Regions from separate parts of the Mus musculus genome. Here regions 1, 2, 3, 4, 5 and 6 are each reported to be linked to region 7. Evidence: microRNA targets listed by miRTarBase, many of them from high-throughput screens and not tested one by one. Region 7 holds a microRNA gene; each other region holds the end of a gene's coding sequence.
What was found. Region 7 holds the annotated microRNA mmu-miR-758-3p (UUUGUGACCUGGUCCACUA, at 1,992-2,010, opposite strand). A microRNA usually pairs through its seed, bases 2 to 8, with sites in the 3' UTR of a target mRNA and lowers its output. Matches are read on the target gene's strand: a 7mer-m8 pairs with bases 2 to 8, a 7mer-A1 pairs with bases 2 to 7 and ends in A, and an 8mer does both.

Region 1 (3,095 bases), not on the chromosome of region 7:
GGGGACCAAGTGTCCAAGCTGCAGCCTCATATTTTGCCCAAAATTCTATGGAATATTTGTCTTAATTTTGTGTTTATCCCATCTTACAATCTTCCACACTCAAGATCTGTAGACTTAAAATAGATTCTCAGTTTATAATTTGGTAACAGTCTGTAGCCACCATGGAAAGTCCTCGTCCAAATGCAGCAGTTTCTGCACTTGAACTTTCTTGTCTTGTCACTAATTAAAGAATGGAAATTACAGACTTCCCCTGTGTGGGTGTCATACTTTTTACAGACTGCTTTGCTTTTGTTTTTTGTTTTGTTTTTCTTTATAAAGACAACTCACTGTCCCTAAATTCTTCATTGCCTTCCAAAGAGGAATGGATTCGAGCTCAGAAGCCAGTTTGGATTTCTGGCACTTTTAACTGAGACTATGGACTAGCGTTTGGAAATATATACAAACATGAATTCAAGAATAACATCCCCCAATGTTGCTTTGACCATATCTGTGATTCAAAAAAAAAAAAAAAAAATTCCAGTGAGCCTACATCTGGCAACATTCAAGAAGAAAAGGAAGGAAGGCAGTTCAAAGCATCTGTTCACTCTATCCAAATGTATTTGGATGCAGGTATTCTCAGCCTCTGTCCTTTACAACAGGAGGAAAACCACAGATAATACACAGCAATTAGGTCTGAGACCATCCAGAACTATCTGAAACATTTATAGTCAAGGGGAAAATTTCAAAGGGGGGTAGGAATTAAAAGGTTAAGGAAAATAAATAGCTGAATTTCCATGAGAAATAATGCTTTAAATTCACACAGTAAACATCTTAGTGGTGTTTTGTTTTGCTTTGTGATTTATGGTCTGTAGATGCAACTTCTTAGACTAAAGATAACCAGGATCTAAGATACATAATTTGGTGACCCAAAAATTACTAGATACAACTTTCGTTAAAATAACAACTGATTTATGCTTCACTTTCTTAGATATGAAACTTTTTAATAGTTGGCCTATAACAAGTTTGAAAAGTTTTTCTGTTATTTGAGAGGAAGTTTGCCAGTGTTGTGCCCAGAACCTGATTGGTCTCATCACAAAGTATTACCACAAAACACTGCACCCAATAAATGCATTTCTTTCAGGCAAAAACATTACAAGTGAAAATGTCAACAAAGCCATTCATTCTTGTTAACCCTTCTTCAATCTGGAATAAGTAGAAATGTATGGAACCAGGAATTTTAAACAGTGTTTTTAATTGAAAATAAAGCTAAAGCATGCTTTTCAACAGTGCAAATTTCCATAATTTTGATTTACTGCTCTCATCTTTACAACACAGTCCACCAGCATGGCCTCACCAAGGGCTAGACCACTTGCCTGTGGAACTACTTTGATTTTAAGTGCAAATATAGATAGTCACCTCTGATTGTCACTTGCAGTAGAAACTCTCCTGTTCTATACACAGGATGGCCTGAAACAGAAGTTTAGAGAGATGCAGAAAAAAAAAAGCATAAGGTAATAAAATCCAAGTGCCTGAGTTCTAATACCAAAAAGCCCTGAAATCAGTTATTTTTCACTTGGGGTGTTATGACTCTTTTTCTTGGTTGTATTTACTGCTTGGACACTAGGATGAGTTAGACCATTAAACATCCTGCTATTAAGAGAAATGTTTTAATTGTTTTGAAAGCTTGAAGAGTTATCTTCAGATCAGAAGACAAGCAGGAGCACAGCAAGAGTCATCCTATTTTAAATGTTTGGGTGAGAGCGCAGAAGGGGCTTTTCCAGTTGCAAGGAGTGACTGTAAAGGTTAAAAAAAAAAAAGTATTTTTTTACTTCTCACACAATGGGCAGCTTTTAAATCAGCATCCAATCAGGACTCAGACCCCCAATCTTTCCATTAAAAAACAAAACAAAACAAAACAAAAAAACAGTTAAGTGCAACTACTATTGGAAAGGGAATCTGGGTTTAGAAAAAAAATAAAAAAGACACCCCACAAATAAGAGCTCCAGAAAATTACATTTGGGCTCACAGAAACTTCTTGCTACCTCATTGTGTAACCATGTAACCTAACAAACTTTCACTGAATACCAGTTACACTTTCAGGTCTGAAATCTAGTGCATAAACTTAATGGCTCATTGTGATATTTATTATTCAACCTTTTGACATTTATTTGTAGCAGTTGAATTGAGGTACCGGTGCATTATTACCATTGAAACAGTAAAGTGTTCCAGCTCTACCATAATAACTGAGTGTTACTTGAGTCTTTAGCCTGAAGTAGTCTGTGGTATGTAAACCAACCCTTCTCCCACCCCTCCCCCACCATAAAAAAAAAAAAAAAACAACCCGCAATGGGAAAAAAAAGTAATCCGATTTTTGTCTTCAAAATGCGATAAACCAGGACTCCAAAAGGGGTGTAACACCATTAATGGACTTGGTACAAGCCATCCTGTGCAGTTTACAACAAAAGGAAGGTAATATGGTTCGAGAAAATATCTTCCAAAACATTTTTTTATGAATTAAATTTCCTGAATTTGTGACTAGGTGGAAGAGGTATTGCAGAACCGCCCAGCTGCCATTTCCATATAGGATGGGCCTTGTGAGGAGGTTGGGAATCCTTAGTGGTGTTTAAGGAATACGCTGGCCACAAATCCCCATCCTTCCCAATAATGAGTGAAGGTGGACAAGGAAAATTTGCCATGAAATTAAATGGCCTTTTCACTGCTGATGCTACATTGCTGGCTACCTTTTTGCGTCTGTTTAAAACTGTAAAGTCATCCAGTGTTCCTTCATGTGTCTCAGTTTTACCTGTAGGACGAGGGCTTCTAGCTGATTTCAAATTTGGTTTGACTGGAGGTGTCTGAAGGACTGGTCGTTTGCCCAGTACTAGTGTCCGGTAATTTTTTCTCACCCTGGCACCAAATTTATATTCCCCATCCTCAGGTTTTGGAGATCCTAAAGTGCATGAGAGGCCCTGACTCTGAGCCAGTGGATTTAAGGAAGGCGTTTCTTTCTCAGGGCATGCAAAACCTTCCTTGGCTGTGGGTACCAAGGCGTCCTCCTCCTTCTTCTCAGTCATATTGTAAAACTCACCCTCGGCATCATTGCACTCCCACTTTAG
Region 2 (3,000 bases), not on the chromosome of region 7:
GTGGTTCACCTTGAGAGCCACCTGCTGAGAAACTGAATTAAGGCTAGGCCTTCAAGAAGAAAGGAATGGAGCGCTTCAAGAAGGAAAACAGAGAAAGGGAGGCCAATGGCTTTGCTGTCTGTAGCTACTCCATTAATGATGAAATGGCAACCAGTGATTTCCCAGGCTACTCCCATGTGGTGGGCAGAAGCCAAGTTTCCAAATCTGGGAGGGGAAAGTGGGAAGCCAGAGAGAAGCATTAGCAACAGAACGAAGGGTGTTTTAACTAAAGGGATCAGAGGAACCAAGTAACGATTCGGGCGAACAGTGCAACTGATGGACCCAGCTGAGGTGGCTCAGAATGCTGAGGAGGGACAGCCCTGGAGAGGTATGGGGAGCAGGCAAGGGCCTGGGTGAGCCTGGTGCAGAGGGCCTGCAGTAGATGCCCCTCCCAGGGGGAGGGCTAGGTACTTGGGACTGGCAAGGAGAGGTGGAGCTCTCTTTCATGCCTAACATGTCCTAGAAATACAGCTGAGCCTGTCAACCACACTGGACCAGGACACACACACACACACACACACACACACACACACACACACACACACACACGACACCTTGTCCAATGACCAAAGGTATCAGCCTTAGCTGCACTGGCCGCCTCAACCAAATGCCAGGATACACAGGAGGCAGAGGCACTCCACACAGGGAGGAATTCCAAGACGCTCCCAAGTTCACTGAGGAGGCACTGGAGGGATGGAGGTCAAGCATCTACAAGCACCTAGCAGCAACAGAGCTTTGGATGAGGCAAAGAAGCAAGTTGTGAGCTTTCTTCAGTGGCTGGATAACTGGGCTGTAAATGTTATACCTAAATGTGACAGATTTCACAAAGAATCTAGAATTATATTTCACATTATAATCTACAAAGTAATTAATGCCTTTTGGTTTCCTCCAGCTTTTTCCTCCCTCCTATATGGGGCAAGGGGAAATGGGCAGGTATCTCTCAGAAACAATACTAAGAACACAGAGGCACACAACTCAAAGATCAGGCTAGCCGAAGGGCCTTTGAGAGCCTGTGCTCCTCAGGCCAGCATCAGGCTGAGGCAGCTATGGAGTACTCCCGGCTCTCCTGGTTCCCAGCAGTGCTGGGCTGGGATTGACCACACCAGGAAGCCCTGGAGACAGCTCCACCTTGGCACCTTTGCTGTGCTCCCAAGCTGAGGCACTGGGTGGGGGACTGTGGTGGGTCAACTCCTGGGGCTGGCCAGAAGTCTCTGTTCTGTACTCACACAGCCTGCAGGTCTGAAACCCCCTAGGGACAGATGACAAACAGCTTCCCAGCAGGCTGGATCATCAACAAATTCAGGAGAGATCACGTAAGTATGGCCACCTAGAAGGCTCTGTTCATCTCCTGATGGGTGCAGGGACCAAATGAACCAAGACACGGCATGGTGGCAGCATTCTGTGATCTACACAGTCCCTGCACTACGGATAACAAACCAGCACCAAGTCCACGGTTACCTGCGGGACCGGGAGAACAACAATCCACAGGGCAGTGAATTTAACCACAAGGGCCTGGAGACTGCATGGATGGAGAACACAAAGCCCTTTGAAGGTCCAGGTGAGAGCCAAGACACTAAGAATGACCAGGAGGGGGTTCACAGACACAGACTTCAAGCTACACCGAGAAGAGACAATACTGAGATAACTGGTTCTGAAAGACTCAGGAATTGCTGCTAAGAAACCTCTAAGTAGACAAAAGAAGGGAAATGCAGGGGCTTTGAGGCCCTTCTGAAAGGACTAATGCTATTTATTGGCTTGGGTCATCCTTGAGAATAGAAAACTTTTTGGCAAAGCTGTACAAACGCCACATGGGGGGGGGGGGGTCTCCTCACCAGAGGCTTCAGTGCCTACCTTGTCTTCTGAGGCTAAGGTAGCTGTGGAGCCAGGGTGGGAGCATGGCGGCCATGGCTGGTGAGTGCACTACGGAGCTACGCCAGTCAGGGAGCATGCTGGGGCTGTACGTCCTCTAAGACTTCCCACCTGCTCCTCAGTCTGACTTTGTCTGGCCACTGGTGACAGCCCGGGTGTCAGATGCCATCTAGTGGCTCCACTTCTTCACTCTCATAATGGCTCGCTGAGAAGGCCCCACAAGAGCAGAGCAGGCCCACTCTAGGGATGAAGGCAGGGGAGCACACGCCATGTTTAGTGAACAGGACAAATTACCTCAAGAAAATAGACTTTAAGAAGTCTTGCTTTCCTTAAGGAAGCAACTCCTTTTTTTTTCTTAATTTTTTTTTAAAATTTTATTTAGAAAGGCTAACCATATTTATTTGTCATTTTTTCTTCAGCTTTAAGGAAAATAGTTTAAAAAACATAAAACTGTAAATACACTCAAGAGTAACTGCTATTAAACAGTTCTGAACAGGCAGAAAGAGTACTTTCCTTTTACAGAAAACGTTAAGTCTGTAATAGCAGCATAATTTATATATAGAAAAAAGCTGGCTTTGAAACCCCAGACTTTTGTATACATAAAACATTTCCCTCCTTTTTCTATACAACACAGCAATGCTTTCCGGGAAGGCTTCTTCACGTTATGGTCCATCCCACGGTTGGCAGTTCCCCAGCATCAGTGGGCTCCAGCCCAGCCGTCAGTCCAACACCAGGGCCGACAGGGCATTCAGGTCTTTCATGTACGGATGAGCTGCCAGGATCTGGTCGATCTTCAGCTTTTGCTCAGAGTCAGGGAAGATCTTTAGCAGCGCCTCCCTCAGCTCGCTGGTCTCTGCAGAAGATCTCTGTGCTGGCAGGGGTGGGTTCTGCTGCATACTGGGAAGGGTGGCCAGAGCTGTGAAGTGGGACTGCTGGGGAAGCCAAGGGCTTGAAGAGGTCTGGATCCGGGGTGGAGGCTGGTGGCTGTTGTTGGCTACCTGCGTGCTGGGACTCCGGAAGCCAGGGTCAAATGTGCCCACACTTGGCAGGGCATTGAGTAGCGGCTGCATGTGTCTGTGGATGAAGTGAGAG
Region 3 (3,095 bases), not on the chromosome of region 7:
TCTGTCAGGAATCCTTGTCTTGGCCTTGCCTATTGCCATTATTAATGATCGATTCTCTGCTTGCTACTTCACCTTGAAACTCAAGGAAGCAGCTGTGAGACAGCGTGAAGCTCTCAAGAAACTTACCAAGAATATAGCCACTGACTCATATATTAGTGTTAACTTGAGGGATGTCTATGCCCGGAGCATAATGGAGATGCTTCGATTAAAGGGCAGGGAGAGAGCAAGTACTAGAAGCAGTGGTGGAGATGATTTCTGGTTTTAAGTTTACCTTCAACTTATTTACAAAACCTCTGTATATTTAGCTGGATTGATGAAGCCTTGCTGCTATGGATATCTGTATATTGATGATGACTTTCTTGAGCACTTCTCATCTTCTTTCTGGTGTATTGATATCCTAGAATATTTAACATCTCCTATAGCAACTACTGATTATTTTGACACACATCTTTAACATAGCCAATTAATACAACCAAAATCAATTGGGAAAGGAAACACATATTTGAATTTTCAAATATCAATTAATATAATTTCATACATCAAAATTTAAAGATTCATGTGTCTTTATTGTTGGGCTTTCAGTAGCGCTATAGTTTCTGTTTTTAATGGAAGTCGAATTCTACAGTCCAGAGGGGTGGGAGAATAACTGAACATTTAAAAACACACTGAAGAAATTTTTGCCATTTAAAGATTTTTCTCCAAATAAGTTATTTCTTTCTCTATCAAGTAAAGCCACTGAGTATAAAGATAAGCTTTGCAATCAAACACTTAAGCTTAGTAGCCGTAGTGAGTACCTCATCTTCGATCAAGTACAAGTCACTGGGTCCAACTGGACCGAGCTCTGCCCTCCATCAGTTCAGTTGCGAGAGGAAGCCTCAAACTGAAGAGTGGAGTAGGTGAGACTTCAAGTGCCTAGGCAGCTTCATCTTCCCAGCTGAGTGTGATGTGTGAAGAAGAATGCAGCATAGCTCTCTAGGAAAATTAAATGATTTATAAAACATCTCATTATAGATGAATTATTTAAGCTATGCTTTCAAAATCATGAATATGTAAAACTGAAGTAGTAAAGATCCTAAATTTATCCATCAAAAAGATTAGATAGTCTTTTCATAAGTGGAAATATGTTGGATGACATCATTAGATGAACTTGTAGATCTTTTTATTTGTTAAAAACAATATTGTGAGAAGCTTTCTGACTGTTGAGGTAAATAACAAATGTTTAGATGTCACCATCACTTCTTTGGTATTTATAGTAATACTACAATGCCTAGACATTGTGAAATATAATTAAACCAAAAAGTTTTAAAGTTAAGAAAAACCCTGGTTCTAAATATTATACAAAGTAATATTTTGAAAAGCTTAACAAAGGATTTCCTTATTGCCTACTTTCTTGATATATGCAATAAAGTTCCTTAAAAAATAAATAAAATTGGCTCTGGGATAGAAATGTTACTCTCCCTATTTATTAAAGCAAATACACATGAAATGCATATGCATACATGCAGAATAACTGCAATATCAAAACTTCGCTGAGAATAGAATTAGGAAAAACACTTAGATGGTAATAAGCATTGAATAACAGTTTCCTTTTAATCCTGTAATGCAAGCCCCAAATCACAACACATGGAAAGCTAAACCAGAAGACACATAAACCTGTAGCCAATTGGACTGCATAGCACATTCTAGGTCAGGTTCATCTGAAGTGCAAGTTCAAGAACACATCAAGGAATGGTAAGACCCTGTCTCAAAAAGTAAAAACAATAATCCTTTGTCTTAACATATGGCTTTATAATTTTTAGTGTTCTGTTTAATGTGTGCCTATATATTTCACCAACTGTATTTAAGGCATCTTACTATCTTACAAACTACCAAGCAGCAATAAAGGTGCCAATCATTGTTATGACATCATAGATTCTAAGTACATTCCTAATTTAGATATGTAAAATCATAATATTTACCACAGAAACAAGGTAACACCTCCTCTTTTCTTATATGCATGCTTAAAATCTGATGAAATTTCCATGGCATGAGTTTTTTTAGTATAATTTTTCTACTTTAATTGTGAATCAGAATACATCATGCATTCTGATTATGGTTTCACTTCTCTCAACTCCTATGAGATCTTTCCCATATCCCCTCACATCAAAATCCACACCTTTTCTTCCCTCCCTTAGAAAACACAGACATCTAAATAATAAAAATAATTATAAATAATAATAATATAAAGTAGGATTTAGAACAACAGAAAAAGAAGAAAAGAGGGGGAAAGCACGGGAAACACTCATAGAAAAGGCACACACACTTGCACACAAAGGAATCCAATAAAAACACATAAATTGATGCCATGATAGATACACAAAGTACCTGTAAGGCTACAATAAATAAAAATAAATAAAAAAATACTTCACAAGATATTATGTGACAAAGAACCTCAAAAGATGCCTCTAAGTTTGTTTTGTCTTGGCTATCTACTGCTTATGATTGGGTTTTCATTCCTGGTAGGAGACAATGAATGGAGAAAACTGATTTTTCATTTATGAGTTGTTATAAACTGGAGATAACTTCCAGGTTAGAGAAAGGGGCTGTGTTAAATTCTCCTCTTGTCTCTGGGAGTCCATCTGGTGCAGAACCAGGCAAAACTCTGTGTACACTGCCACAGTTTCTATGTTTTCATTTGTGCATTGATCTTGTTGTGCTTAGAGGGCTTTGGACCCCCTATTCCCTCTGATTCTTACAATCTCCCTGACTCTTTTTCCACAGGATTTTGTAAGTCTGGAAGAAAGAGGTATGATGGAGACAATCCATTTAGGACTGAGTGTATCAAAGTCTCTTGCACTATGAACATTGTCTAGCTGTATCTTTGTATTTGTTTCAATGTACTACAAAAAGGTATTTCTCTGATGATGACTGAACAAGGCACAAAATTGTGAATATAGCAAGATGTTATTAGAAATCATTTTGTTTTGTTATATTCCTTAAGTAGAACAGTTGTCTTCCCCTTAGGTCTCTGGGCTATTGGTCTCTGGTTATTTACCCTCAAGTAGTGTTAGGGATGGGTTCCATCTCATGGAGTAGGTCTTAATTCAAATCATATA
Region 4 (3,093 bases), not on the chromosome of region 7:
TGGTCCTCCTGCTTCTACCTCCTAAGTGTTAGAGGATTACAGGTATGTGCCACCATGGCTGGTGTATGCCACACTGGGAATGAAGTCCATGCTACCAAATAAGCCATGTCCCAAGCTAGCTTCAACAAGTCTTCATTTGCTGGAGCGAGGACTGGTGTGCAGAACTCCCAGTTTGGCTACTTTTGTTATTTACTTCCTGAAATTTTATCCCTCACTTGGTACAGAATGACCAAGCCCTGACTACTTTTCTTCCTCAAATAGTTACTGCAGAGGCCAGACTTGTGAGCAGCCTGAAGCTCTATGTTCACTCCCAGCCTGGTGGCTCATATAAGCAGACTTAGAAACAAAGCGGTGAGCCAGGAATCACTTGTAGCTCCAGCTCCTACTGCTGCTGCTCCTGCCTAGGGAGGAGTTGGAGAACTGCAGAAAGGAACTCCTTAAATCTGAAAAGTCCTAAACAGATGTCACGTAAGAGTGATGCTGAAGCCGGGCCATGGTAGTGCATGCCTTTAATCTCAGCACTTGGGAGGCAGAGGCAGGCGGATTTCTGAGTTCAAGGCCAGTCCGGTCTACAGAGTGAGTTCCAGGACAGCCAGGGCTACACGGAGAAACCCTGTCTCGAAAAACCAAACCAAACCAAACCAAACCAAACCAAACCAAACCAAAAACAAAACCCCGAGAGTGATGCTGACCAGAGGCAAGATAGAGACAAGTCTGAGAACTGAACTATATAGTGTAAAGTACTGTCCGAGTGTGTAGACAAACCTGGGTAGGACACAGAAGCAAAGCAGTCCCCAACAGCACTATAGAAACTCAGAATCGGACAGGCCAATCACACAGCCCACAAAGGTAGGCTAGATTTTGTAACCCAGTTTGCTGTACAAACTGATCTCCAACCAGGTAAGTAGTAATGTATTGGTTCTAGCTCTTTATTCCAACTATCTGGAGTAGTTCTGTGGCAAAAAAATTTAACACTTAAAGGGTGTTCATCCATTTTACTACTGAGTAACTGACCAGGGCACACCAGGAGACATTCTCATGTTCACAGAAGCTCCTGATCTGCCCGAAGTTTTGTGTCTGAGTATGGACAAGTGCTGTCTGGTACTAACTCTATCTAGTAAGTCAAAGTTGTCCCCACTAGACTGATGGGATGGGACCAGGGAGGCCAGGCTGTACTAAGCTGTCTGGCAAACAGTGGGTCTTGGGTATTCTATGCTAAAATAACATGATTTTAAAGGTCTACTTTCTAAGTCTGAGAACCCTTGTTCCAATGAGATAGGAACTCAGTATTTTTAAATCAGCCTTAACTGTGTGCAAAGACACTAAATCCATACTTTTATGGGGCAAGTGTTAGTATTCAGACTTGTTCTTCAGACTTGTTCATTGTACAAAAAGTGACCACAGCTTCCAAAAGCCAACAGGATCAAAGGCAATGACTTATCCCAATTGACTGCACAGGGCAAAACGATTCTGGAGTATACTGAGTGGCCGATGCAAGGTGCTGACAACTAATAAACTTTAGATGGCAAGGAAAAGATGTGAGCAGTACTTGGCCTGATCAATAGGTCCAATAATGACCAGATCGATGTCTCCAAATTCTATTTGGAGAATCAGATAATTGGAAAAGTTCCTGAAGATGGGAAAAAAAAAAAAAAAAAAAAAAAACAGGTCAGGCTCTTCAAAAACGGTTCCCATTCTTCACAAACTCTGAGCTGTGAGGGAGACTATAAACACGGAGCACAGAAAAAGGATGCCTCAAATGTCCACCTGATAATAAACCTATGAGGTGGTGTCAAAACCAGGTGCGAATAATCCCATCAGGGTTAGGAGCACTGCTTAGGTGCCAAACAGAACCTACTCACAAGACATCCCCAAGGATCCAGACATGCAGTCCCAGAGAGAAGGACACATACAACAAGGCGACTGTTTTAAACAGTCAAGCAGTGGCAGAGGCTCTGCATTTCCAAGGTGATCCACGGAATATTTTAGTTTGGCCAACATGCTTAGAGAAAAGACTAGCACAATGGCTCCATCCTCTCTCAGACCGATCCATGCGATGGAGATTATTTTTTACACAAGCAAAATCAAGAAAAACACTGGAGTTAAGAGGTGGGTTCCAAACTAACGAAGACAGCCAAGTTAGAAAATCTTGTCCAAAATGATCCATGATGCTTGGGAAGACTAATTTAATTTTTTATCATTACTAGAGATTTTACTGAAACAGTGACTTCTTTCTTGCATTTCTGAGCATCTTAACAGCTCTGAGCAGCTCAGGAGAGAGTCCTGAGTACTGCTTTTGTGCTATCCAAGTCTCTTTTAGGCCAATCAGTGTCACTCGAGGGTGGATATGGGGCTCAAGGAACTGTTTGAAGACAGGGGAAGGAAGGGCCTCCTCCTAAGCCTGCTACCAGTCTTCAGGCCTCTACTGTGGACAGTGTGGGACACTATTGACAATATGCTAATGCAAGGAGTCGGAGGGAGCTGGTGTATACACTGAGAAGGGGCTGGTTATGCCAGCTTTAGCTGGAAGAGGAACCTCAGGAAAGCCATGGAGGAGGCAGCTCAAGCTACTTCCTGTGTGCAGAGAATGATACATTAGTTCTTCCAAGGACACGTGGCAAATCCCAGAGAAGCTGTGGAGTGCCTCTTGGATGCTTCCTGCCAACTTCACTTCTTGCTGACGACCCAACAGCTACTTGTTCTAATAGCCAGCTCACTGGTGCAAGCATGCTCCCATGTGGAGGGGTCATCAGGACAGGTGGAGTCTGTAGCTTAGAGCCCGTTGGCATCAATGGCTGTCACAGAGGCAGGTGTTGAGGACCGTGAGGTGGTAGCTGAGGTCTTGTCCAGGGCTGGGCTGGGCACACTGCAGTCAGCAGACCTGGCTGAGCCCCGCCCTCCAGGGAGCAGTGGCCTGCTCTGGCTGTGGGGACTGTGGCCATGTAGACTCTGGCCACAGAGGCGGTGGTGCCGCTCCCAGTCCTTATGCTGGCAGAAGGAGCCGCAGTAGCGAGCAATGTTGCAGCCACTGCACGTCTCACTGGCTTTTCGGCCACAGTTCCAGCAGTTCTGCAAGACACAGGCGTCAGTTAG
Region 5 (3,095 bases), not on the chromosome of region 7:
TTCTTCAACAAAACCATCTTTGGCCTGGGGAGGGAACTGTGCTCGAGGACAGTGCTAGTGCTGTGCTAATGCACTGGGCAAACGGGATAATGGAAGTACATGGTCTCCCCAGCTGGCTAGCTGGCTAACTGAGCCAGCCATGGCTGACCATGGCTCTGCTGGGGCAAGTGCTCCTTTTAGAAATCACAAGTAGGTATGAAGTTTGGGGTCTGTTCCAAAGGTGGGGTCACTCCTTTGCTTCTAATATCATTAGGAAAGTTTCATTTGGTCCTGGAGCACAGGACAAATCTGTGGACAATGAAATGGGAGAGCTAGAGGGAACCAGAGGAGCAGGGAGAACGTGATGTTCTGGCCGAGGAGGAAGGCAGAACAGAAGGTTAGGGAGCACAGCACTGGCAGCTCCCTGTGGAGCACAGCTCTCGCCTCTGCCAATTCACAGCATTAATGTTAGCCTTCCCCTTGGACAGGTTACCTGGGCTGCAAACGGTCACAGAAAGTCAGTAGTTTCAATCATACACAGCACCCTGTGTGTACAACAATCACATTCTGGATTCTACAAAATCCTGGCCTTTTCCAGAGATATAATTTAGGTAATAAATATTCTCCACCCCGGAGCTGTATAAAACTTCTATAAAAATAGAAACAACATTCTTGGTTCCGGCCGGTTGGGATTCTGAGCAGTGCCTGCCCAACCTAGCATTTTTTTCTTTTTTTTCCTTTTAAAGTTTTTTATTTTTTATTTTTTTTGCATTATTTTAAAAAATTCCATCAATACCCTGGAAGCCTTTAGAACAGTTTTATCTTGAAACACAGGACACTTTTCTCCCAGTGCACAGAATTCAAGTTTACGTGGTTCAGCTTAAGAAGTGTATGTTTCATGTTTAAGAGGACAACAGACTCAACTTATCACTATAAGAGAACAGCTGTCCCAGCATCAATGGGATAACACACCACTAACAACTTCCTGTACAACAGCAAGATGGTCAATCCCTGTTTGTTATCCACAGGGACAGCATGACAAGGAGAGTCCCTATCTGACTTAAAGCAGGTTAGCCCCTTCTAATCTCTGCTGCTAGGAGTCAAGACTTGTAACTTATGAGGTTTAAGCTTCCAATGACCCAGGAACCCAGGCCCTGGCTGTGACTACTAATCATATATTTATAGGGCTACCTCTGCTCAGATGCACATTCCCACAGCTTCTCTTAGAGCAGGAGAGCCCAGAGGCTATGTGGGACACTGGCAAAGGCTGGAGTTAAGACCCATGAAAGGCAGCAGGGAGCTTACTGTAAGCATGATGACAAAATGAACATGGGTTAATACTGAGGTAAATGAACACTAAATCCATATGGAGCCTGTAAACGTCCTATACTTTCTTCTGTCTTCAAGGACAGAAAATGGGGCTAGAGGAGAGGCCTGCCAGACCTTATGGGAACACAGCTTTTGGAGTACCTTCATTAAGGAATCAGAAATGCACTTCTGAACCTTCTTGAATACTAGGCTCTGCTCAAATATAGCAAAGTGGCTTGAAGTGACCTTGATTCAGGCACACCAAGAAGCAGGTCTCTCTTCCCTTAATCAGATGGCTTCTTGACTGCTCTGCCCATGAACTGCACCCTTGTTGGCTAGAGATGCTGTTAAGAGTGTCTTATGTCCCCTCATGAGAAAACTGTGGCCAGAGAAGGAGGCAACATTCCTTGGTGTTATGAACTTCCATATACTTTCTACAAAAGAGACTACTGGAAATGGGTACATTCTAACTTCATGTTAAAATTAATGAAAATGACCTCTCTGGCTGCTTCCCCTAAACAGCCACCAACCAGGCAGGGCAATCAATATAACACGAATGTCGGGCTGGGCTGCCTAGTCATGGGTATCTCCCTCCTATTTGCATATTTCAGGCTAACTGAAAAGTGCATTATTTCATGAGACTTGCTTACCCCCTTTTAGGAAAGAAGGGCAGAAATCCAGGACAAAAATTAGAAAAATAGGTGGCATAAATTCAGCATTTCCACAGAAAGCAGCCAGTTCTAAGGGGTCTAGAAGCTAAGACACCTCACCCACTCACCCACCCCGTACCTCATTAGACTTAGTTCTCACTCTTTCCACACAGGGAGAGAGACTTCGGGGATCAACTTTCTGTTCTGCTCAGCCCTCTCTTTCCATGGTTTGGGGCATGTTCTAATTATCTTTTAAACCCATTTCCCTCTTCCTCAAGGTGGACTGGTGTTGGTCCTTCTCAACAAACTGGTTACAAACACAGCAAACTTTAAATAAAGGGAAAAAGAAACAAAACAAAACAAAACAAAACAAAACCCCTCAGGATATGGCACCTAAACTCCAAAGTAAAACACTGGAAACCAAAGCACAAACTTGTCCTCTGTACGAAGCGACACTCCCACAGAAGGCAGTAGCTGAGTCTTCAGGGCAAGCTGTGCCTGCGAGAGTGGCAGGGATCAGGGTCCAGGGCTGTTAACACACAGCCTTAGGGCTTCGAATGATTAAGGGTGCTCCTCCCCCACTTACCAGAAGATCTTCTCACTCCAGTCTCAGAGGGGAGCACTCAGTAGGGCTTACTATCATTCTTCGAACGTTTGAGCTGCACTTTAAGCCTCTTCATTCCAATTTGAAAGCCGTTCATGGACTGGATGGCAGCTTGAGCTGAGACAGGATTGTCATAACTTACAAAACCTGTGTGTTCAAGCAGAAACCTAGGTGAGGAACCTAACAAAGCAAGGAGTTCAGTCCTTGTTCGTATCTTATTTGTTCTCAGCATGAACGACAATTCTGGCAATGACAACCACATGAAACTACAATCAGGTTCTCAAAGCTACTGCCTGACATTTACCAGTATTCTTTCTCCCCTTGCAAAGCCATTTCTATACACTAGTTCCTCTGGACCAATACTGTGAGCAGAAATCACTACCTCTACTACAGATAAAACTAAAGCTCAGAAAGAGGTCATATGATCTGCTAAGGTCAAACTCAAACTCAGATTTTTCTCAATTTGTCAGCAGCCACTTTCTTTCTCTCTCAGTGGCAAAATACTTAATCCCATTCTTACACCAGAAGAGAGGTCAACATACCAAAGCACTTGC
Region 6 (3,095 bases), not on the chromosome of region 7:
AGAAGTGATGTTCTTCTCTGTCTTTGCTGTTTCAGAAGCCCGGAGGTCATGAGCACCGTCTCAGGTACACGGAGCACGACGGTCACCTTCACTGTCCGCCCTGGCACCTCCCAGCCCATCACCCTGCAGAGCCGGCCCCCCGACTATGAAAGCAGAACCTCAGGACCTAGACGCGCCCCAAGCCCTGTGGTTTCACCAACGGAATTGAGCAAAGAGATCCTGCCCACCCCTCCCCCTCCGTCCGCCACTGCAGCCTCTCCCTCCCCCACACTCTCAGATGTCTTTAGCCTTCCGAGCCAGTCCCCTGCAGGGGACCTCTTTGGCTTGAACCCAGCAGGACGGAGCAGGTCACCATCTCCTTCAATATTGCAACAGCCAATCTCAAATAAGCCTTTTACAACTAAGCCTGTCCACCTGTGGACGAAACCAGATGTGGCAGACTGGCTGGAAAGTCTGAACTTGGGTGAACACAAGGAGACGTTCATGGACAATGAGATTGACGGCAGCCACCTGCCAAACCTTCAGAAGGAAGACTTGATAGATCTTGGGGTGACTCGAGTTGGGCATAGGATGAACATAGAAAGGGCTTTGAAACAGCTGCTGGACAGATAAGGGTGGCTGCCCTGGGCCTTCACAGACTCCTTTCTTATAAGTAGAGATGGGCTTATGTTGAAATGTGTGGTGGCCAAGCAGAGGCTGACAGCACCAACCTCCAGTCTGTGGGTTTGTCTCTGGGTACCCAAAGATGTGCTGTGGGTGTCCCTTGGTGTGGCCAAACTGGGGCCACAGATATCTTGGGTGGCTTCTGTCCAAAGGGACAGTAAGGGGGTTTCTGTCCTGGTCTCAGAGGCTGCCATAGACGGTATGTGGGACCCTCTCCTCCTGTGGCAGACACCAGTGTACTCCAGATACCTCCTGAGGCCTCCCTCCTCTGCCTTCTGGGCAACTCTCACCCCTCAGCCCTGGAACACAGCCTTTCTTCAGGCCTTTGGCCTCTGGGTGGGCTCATTGGCTCTGTCCCTCCCCTGTGCTTGGCTCTCAGTGAGCAGTTCCAGGTGGAGCCCTGCCTGAGCCAGACTGTAGAGAACACTGTCCCATCCACCTCTTTGTCCGACTCCTGTGACGTGCATCGGAGCTTCTTTGGCCCCTAGGTCCTTGGCAGTGGTGGCTGTGGACAGGATCGTGCCCTGCTTGCTTAACTTGCTGTCTTTATTTCTGCAAACAGATTAGCATAATTCCAGGGTGGCCAAAATGAAGTCACACGGAGTTAGTCAAAGCACAAAGTCACGATCCTGAGGAGGAGGGAGGCCTGGCTGTAGAGCCAGCCAATGTGTGGCTGCCCAAGCCCACAGCCTCCTCCAGGGCAAGGACAGGTGTCTGCCCAGAGCATCTGCCCAGGAGGGAGAGGTTGGGGCTCTTGAAATTTACTCTAATTGGATGTCTGCAGAGCTCCACAGAGGTCAGAACAGGTGAGCAGCTACTTTTACAAGGACAAGAGGACCTGAGGCTTGTGGTAAGCATGGCTGCCATCGGGAAGCTGCTGTCCTCCCTGGTAGCAGATGGAATGCCATACCCTTCATCTGCACCAGGCCTTGGCTGAGCATCCTGCCGAGGCAGCCCTTTGGCTCTCAGAGGCCAAGAAAGGTGGAACTCAGGGGCCTTTCTCCCTTCTCTCACAAAGTGGGGATCCCACCAGCTTGTCTTAACATCTGGCTCTCAGAGAAGCCCGTGGTCAGGACCTGGTGGAGGACAGAAAGTGGGGCACAGGCTGTGGCAAAGTTTAGGTGTGTGTGGAAAAGAAGGTGGGGAGCATCGTGGACCAAGCCTCACCTCAGGCCCAGCCACCTGAGCCCACCCTTCTCGTCCCCAGATGTCTCCCTCCCAAAACAATACCTCTAATGTCCCAGGGAGGTCACTGACTGCACACAGCCACCATGCAGCCAGCCAGGCTCCCGAAACCCCCTCTCCCCCACGCTCAGAGGAGACTCGAATGTCAGGTGACGGTTTTATCATTTCAGAACTAGCCCAGCCCATCTCTAATTATAAAACATCTTTTTCCTTTTTTTTTTTTTCTCTCTTCACTTATGCTCACAACCACGTGTCTGACGAGGCCTGGAACAGCGCTACAATGAACACATAAAATTTAGCAATTAAAAAAAATCTTTCTTTACTGCAAGTTTAAATATGTGTACAGATAGTTCATAAGCACAATACTTTAAGAAGAAAATGGCTGGTCTACTAGGCAGCCTCTGTGCCACCCAGTGCTGGAAAACTAAAGGGAAAGGGGGTTGTGGTTTAAAAATACCATTTCCTTGGGACAATTATACAAGCGACCTTTAAAAAATTAACCTTCCCTGGTCACATCCGAACCTGTGACATCAAGTTGTTTTTCAGCTTTTGCCACAGTTTCATCATTGAAGGGCAATTATTTCATCAAAAAGATTAGAACCCATGACTCTGCGGTTTCTCCAACAACAATGCACATACATGCATACTACACACACACACACACACACACACACACACACACACACACACACCCTCATGCATCCACCACAACCCTTGTTATGGAGACCAGACCTTTGAATCTTATTCTGTCCCCAAAACCCTTTGCAGGTCAACCCTAACTTCTGAGTCATCCAGTCAGCTGGTACCAGGTGACTGTTGAGCACCACGCTCTGGGTTCCCTCATCCACAGCATGGCGAATGAATGAGTAACACTCCAGAGATGCTGCAAGTCCAGACACTGCGGGTAGCCACTGAAGAATTCAGAGAGTGTGAAAATGTGGCCTCGCCATTAACTTGTCTTCCAATGGGTGGTTCTTCGAAGTCCCCTCAGTGTGCCATAGCACTAGGCTCCTTTCCTTTGCTTCTGGTTGGCATTACCTCTGTGCTCAGTGCCAGGCAGATGCTAGGCAGGAGAGACCTGGTGGCTTGGGGCACGCTGAGCTTAGGCAGCAGGTGACAAGCTGCGACTGCCTTCCTTAGACTTCAAGCCACATGCCTCCAAGCAGAAGCAAGCTGACTGTCAGCCTTGGAAGCTGATAGGCCAGCTTTGCTTTGCAGTGTCTGGTCACAGGAACACAGCTGGACCT
Region 7 (3,095 bases):
AGTATAAAGAAGCAGCAGGCAGGGGCAGGCAGTTCCACCCCCTGGTCGAGTGGTTCTCAACCTTCCTAGTGCTGTGACCCTTTAATATACTTCCTCATGTTGGGTAATCCCCAACTGTAAAATTATTTTCAATGTTACTTCATAACTGTGATTTTGCTACTGTTATAAATCATAATGTAGATATCTGATATGAAATGCCTATGAAAAGGGCTCATGATTTGCAGATGAGAATTGTGTTCTACCTGGAACCCCACAGAAAGCTCTACTGCTGACCACAACCCTGGGTGGAGTTAAGGACTAAGAACAGATTTCACATCTTTTGTTTATTTGTTTGTTTGTTTGGTTGGTTGGTTGGTTTGGTTTTTTTCGAGACAGGGTTTCTCTGTATAGCCCTGGCTGTCCTGGAACTCATTCTGTAGACCAAGCTGGCCTCGAACTCAGAAATCCACCTGCCTCTGCCTCCCAAGTGCTGGGATTAAAGGCGTGCGCCACCACTGCCCCGCTCCAGATTTCATATCTTAAAGCTCACTGGGCAAATGTGTGTGCCAATTTCAGGTTTGCTTTCCTACTGCTAGAACACTGCTGATTCCAAGTCTCTTATTACAAGGATGTGGGTGTGTGTGAATAGCATGGATCTAGGTACCATCTGACACAGTGGGTGTTCTCTACAATAGACAGTCCTATAGCAGGGGTTGGCTGATTAAAAGCCCATCACCGTGCCTCCAAAGCATGCTGGACATGTGTGGGGGTGGCTGTGTCTAACCTGTTAGAAGCAAAGTGGGTGCAACCTACCTGTGATGACCTGGGGTAGAGTTGCCTCGGTGGCTGCCATCTTCCCCAACTTTGGAACACCATATTGGTTGAGAAGTCCTCCTGAGAATGGACAAGATACTGAAGGTTAGAAGCACAGGCAACAGAAATCTGATGTATGGGATGGGTTTTGTCCGTCACTCACTTGTTCATAACTATTAGTGTGTCCTCAGCTGAGGCTGAGGTATGGACCAGAAGGCCTCCATAGTTTGTTCTGATGGGAAGAGAGGTTGACCAAATGTGTTTCAAACACAGAAACCCCTCTTCCACATCCTCAGTTAACAATAACAATGACACCTTCCCAAACTGGACCTTCAGACCTGGCAGGCCTGGGAGGGTTTAGAGGACAAAGGACACCATTCAGAACGATAATCCACTCGCTGGCTTTGTGGAGAACCAGTTATTCCTGTCCCCTGGCTGGATGCTGACAGGACCATCCTTCCCTGAGACTGGGATCTGGACCACGAAGCCTCCAAGATGGGATTTGATACTGAAAAAAAGGTTAGCTGGGTGTGTTTCATTCTCATCAAAGAAACAGAGACCCAGAAAACCTCTCTTCCGGTACCAGAAGCGAACACTGACAAGACTACCTCGGTAATTCCCCAACGTGACCTTCAGACCTGGCAGGCCTGTTGAATGCAGGGTTGCACACTGGATGTTAGTCAAAGTGCTCAAGCAAGCCATTAGTTGATATATATCTGACAGCCATCCCATCACATGCCCCAGTACAGCAGACCTCCATGGCATGATCCTGAAGTTATGTCACAACCAGAGAGCAGTGGCGCAGTAGAGACTGGCTATAGGACTTACCACCATTTTGGGTAACCACAGAAAGGCACAGATGCCCCCAAACCAAAGATGATTCCTCCCACAGATTTAGCATGCAAGTGTGCTAAGGTGACCTGCGACCTGTGCCATATATAAATGGCATACACACACCCTGGTCATGTCTGACAACATGGTACGTTTCTTGAACTTGGATGGCCCCATATCAAGGAAGGGATCCAAGTATAGGACAGCATTGGAAGCCCATCCAATACTACCATAACAGGCACATATGTTGCAAGTACTGAGGATGCTGTCTCCAAGTCTAACAGCGTACAGCTGGCTTATTGCCTCTGTCCCCAAAAGTTGAGATCTCTTCCAGGAAGTTCTCCAAGGGAAGGTTAGATACTGAGGGTTAGTGGACCAGGTCACAAACGGCACAAATATAGCGTGTGCTCTCTGGTCAACCACCTCACGCACCCACACGTGTATCACATGTCGATGCCACTTTCCTGGTCTGCAAGTCACCCTGCCCACGAAGCTGCCAAGCCAGAGAAATTTGCTGAGAAGAAGGCTGCCACACAAGAGTTATTGTCAGACACAAGAAAAGACAAACCCGCTGGCTGGGTTGCGCTAGCACACACATTTAGTGTCCCCACCCCACAGCTGGTGTTAGCTCCAGGAAAGCTCGCAAGGCGGGATTAGATACCGCAAAGAGGTCGACCGTGTAATGTGCGCCATAAATGAAGCGAACGCGCCACGGACCACCTCTCTCCAAGTACCAAGCAGCAGCAGTAGGAAGACCGGGACACTGGCTCTTCCTCAAAGCAGATGTCACCTCCTGGAAGTCTTCCAAGGCGAGATGTGATATTGAGAAGAAGTAGACCATGTGTCCTACGTCATAAATAAAGCGTACACACCATGGTCAACCGCATCTTCAAATACCTTGAGGTAACGCTGGCTGATTCCAGCTCACTTTACTTAATTTGGTGTTACCTCCAAAATGCCTTCTCAATGAGTGTCACAAACTACCAGCAATCGGCATGTGTGGCAATGGCCACAAACTCATGTTTAATGCCACTATGACTTCCAGGATGCCCTGTAAGGCTGGGCTGGGTGCCAAATATTGGCTTTGGATCAAATGGCCAGAGTCGTAGGTAATGAACATGGCCTGTAGCCAAGCACTGGGTAATCTGTGTTGGATAGGGTCTGCCGCCTGAGCCCTACTCTCAATTGGTATGGCTTTCAGAAAGCCCCTGGTGACCGGCTGATGCAGAGATGTGGTGGACCATGCTGTACATGCTGGAATTAACGCACACACTCGACAGTCTACCATCTCCCCAAGTACTGTGCTGAAGCCAGGACAGGATATCTCCCATGAAGTTGGCTCGGTCTCTGGAAAACCCTCACGAATGACTTTGATAACGAGAAGATGTGGACCATACTACATACGACACAGAAGTAGCGCATGTTCTATGGTCAACCATCTTTTCAGGTACCATGGAGAGAGGGTGGTGCAG

Region 1: the mRNA of Skida1 is a reported target of mmu-miR-758-3p. The part of its 3' UTR that is shown has no 7-base or 8-base seed match.
Region 2: the mRNA of N4bp1 is a reported target of mmu-miR-758-3p. The part of its 3' UTR that is shown has no 7-base or 8-base seed match.
Region 3: miRTarBase lists Kcnv1 as a target of mmu-miR-758-3p. The part of its 3' UTR that is shown has no 7-base or 8-base seed match.
Region 4: the mRNA of Cbfa2t2 is a reported target of mmu-miR-758-3p. The part of its 3' UTR that is shown has no 7-base or 8-base seed match.
Region 5: miRTarBase lists Celf1 as a target of mmu-miR-758-3p. The part of its 3' UTR that is shown has no 7-base or 8-base seed match.
Region 6: miRTarBase lists Shank2 as a target of mmu-miR-758-3p. Seed matches in the 3' UTR shown: 7mer-A1 at 1,674-1,680.

The regions. Positions count from the first base shown.
Region 1 is chr2:18,043,124-18,046,218 of GRCm38, forward strand. It overlaps Skida1 (SKI/DACH domain containing 1), which reads right to left. Exons shown (of 1, transcript NM_028317.3): 1 at 964-3,095. The coding sequence ends at 2,487. Among named protein-coding and RNA genes, the nearest start is that of Skida1, 3.8 kb to the right of the region's middle.
Region 2 is chr8:86,842,060-86,845,059 of GRCm38, forward strand. It overlaps N4bp1 (NEDD4 binding protein 1), which reads right to left. Exons shown (of 7, transcript NM_030563.2): 7 at 1-2,982. The coding sequence ends at 2,628. Among named protein-coding and RNA genes, the nearest start is that of Gm33877, 8.1 kb to the right of the region's middle.
Region 3 is chr15:45,106,144-45,109,238 of GRCm38, reverse strand. Kcnv1 (potassium channel, subfamily V, member 1) reads left to right here. Exons shown (of 3, transcript NM_026200.3): 3 at 1-2,955. The coding sequence ends at 265. Among named protein-coding and RNA genes, the nearest start is that of Kcnv1, 7.2 kb to the left of the region's middle.
Region 4 is chr2:154,534,860-154,537,952 of GRCm38, reverse strand. Cbfa2t2 (CBFA2/RUNX1 translocation partner 2) reads right to left here. Exons shown (of 11, transcript NM_172860.2): 11 at 1-3,069. The coding sequence ends at 2,773. Among named protein-coding and RNA genes, the nearest start is that of 1700003F12Rik, 12 kb to the left of the region's middle.
Region 5 is chr2:91,012,831-91,015,925 of GRCm38, reverse strand. It overlaps Celf1 (CUGBP, Elav-like family member 1), which reads right to left. Exons shown (of 14, transcript NM_198683.2): 12 at 3,084-3,095; 13 at 2,524-2,688. The coding sequence ends at 2,561. Among named protein-coding and RNA genes, the nearest start is that of Gm13777, 17 kb to the left of the region's middle.
Region 6 is chr7:144,420,524-144,423,618 of GRCm38, forward strand. It overlaps Shank2 (SH3 and multiple ankyrin repeat domains 2), which reads left to right. Exons shown (of 16, transcript NM_001113373.3): 16 at 36-3,095. The coding sequence ends at 612. Among named protein-coding and RNA genes, the nearest start is that of Gm34621, 2.6 kb to the left of the region's middle.
Region 7 is chr12:109,711,773-109,714,867 of GRCm38, reverse strand. Mir758 (microRNA 758) reads right to left here and starts at 2,058; the gene lies at 1,978-2,058. It overlaps Mir380 (microRNA 380), which reads right to left and starts at 3,065; the gene lies at 3,005-3,065. Mir1197 (microRNA 1197) reads right to left here and starts at 2,551; the gene lies at 2,432-2,551. It overlaps Mir323 (microRNA 323), which reads right to left and starts at 2,360; the gene lies at 2,275-2,360. It also overlaps Mir329.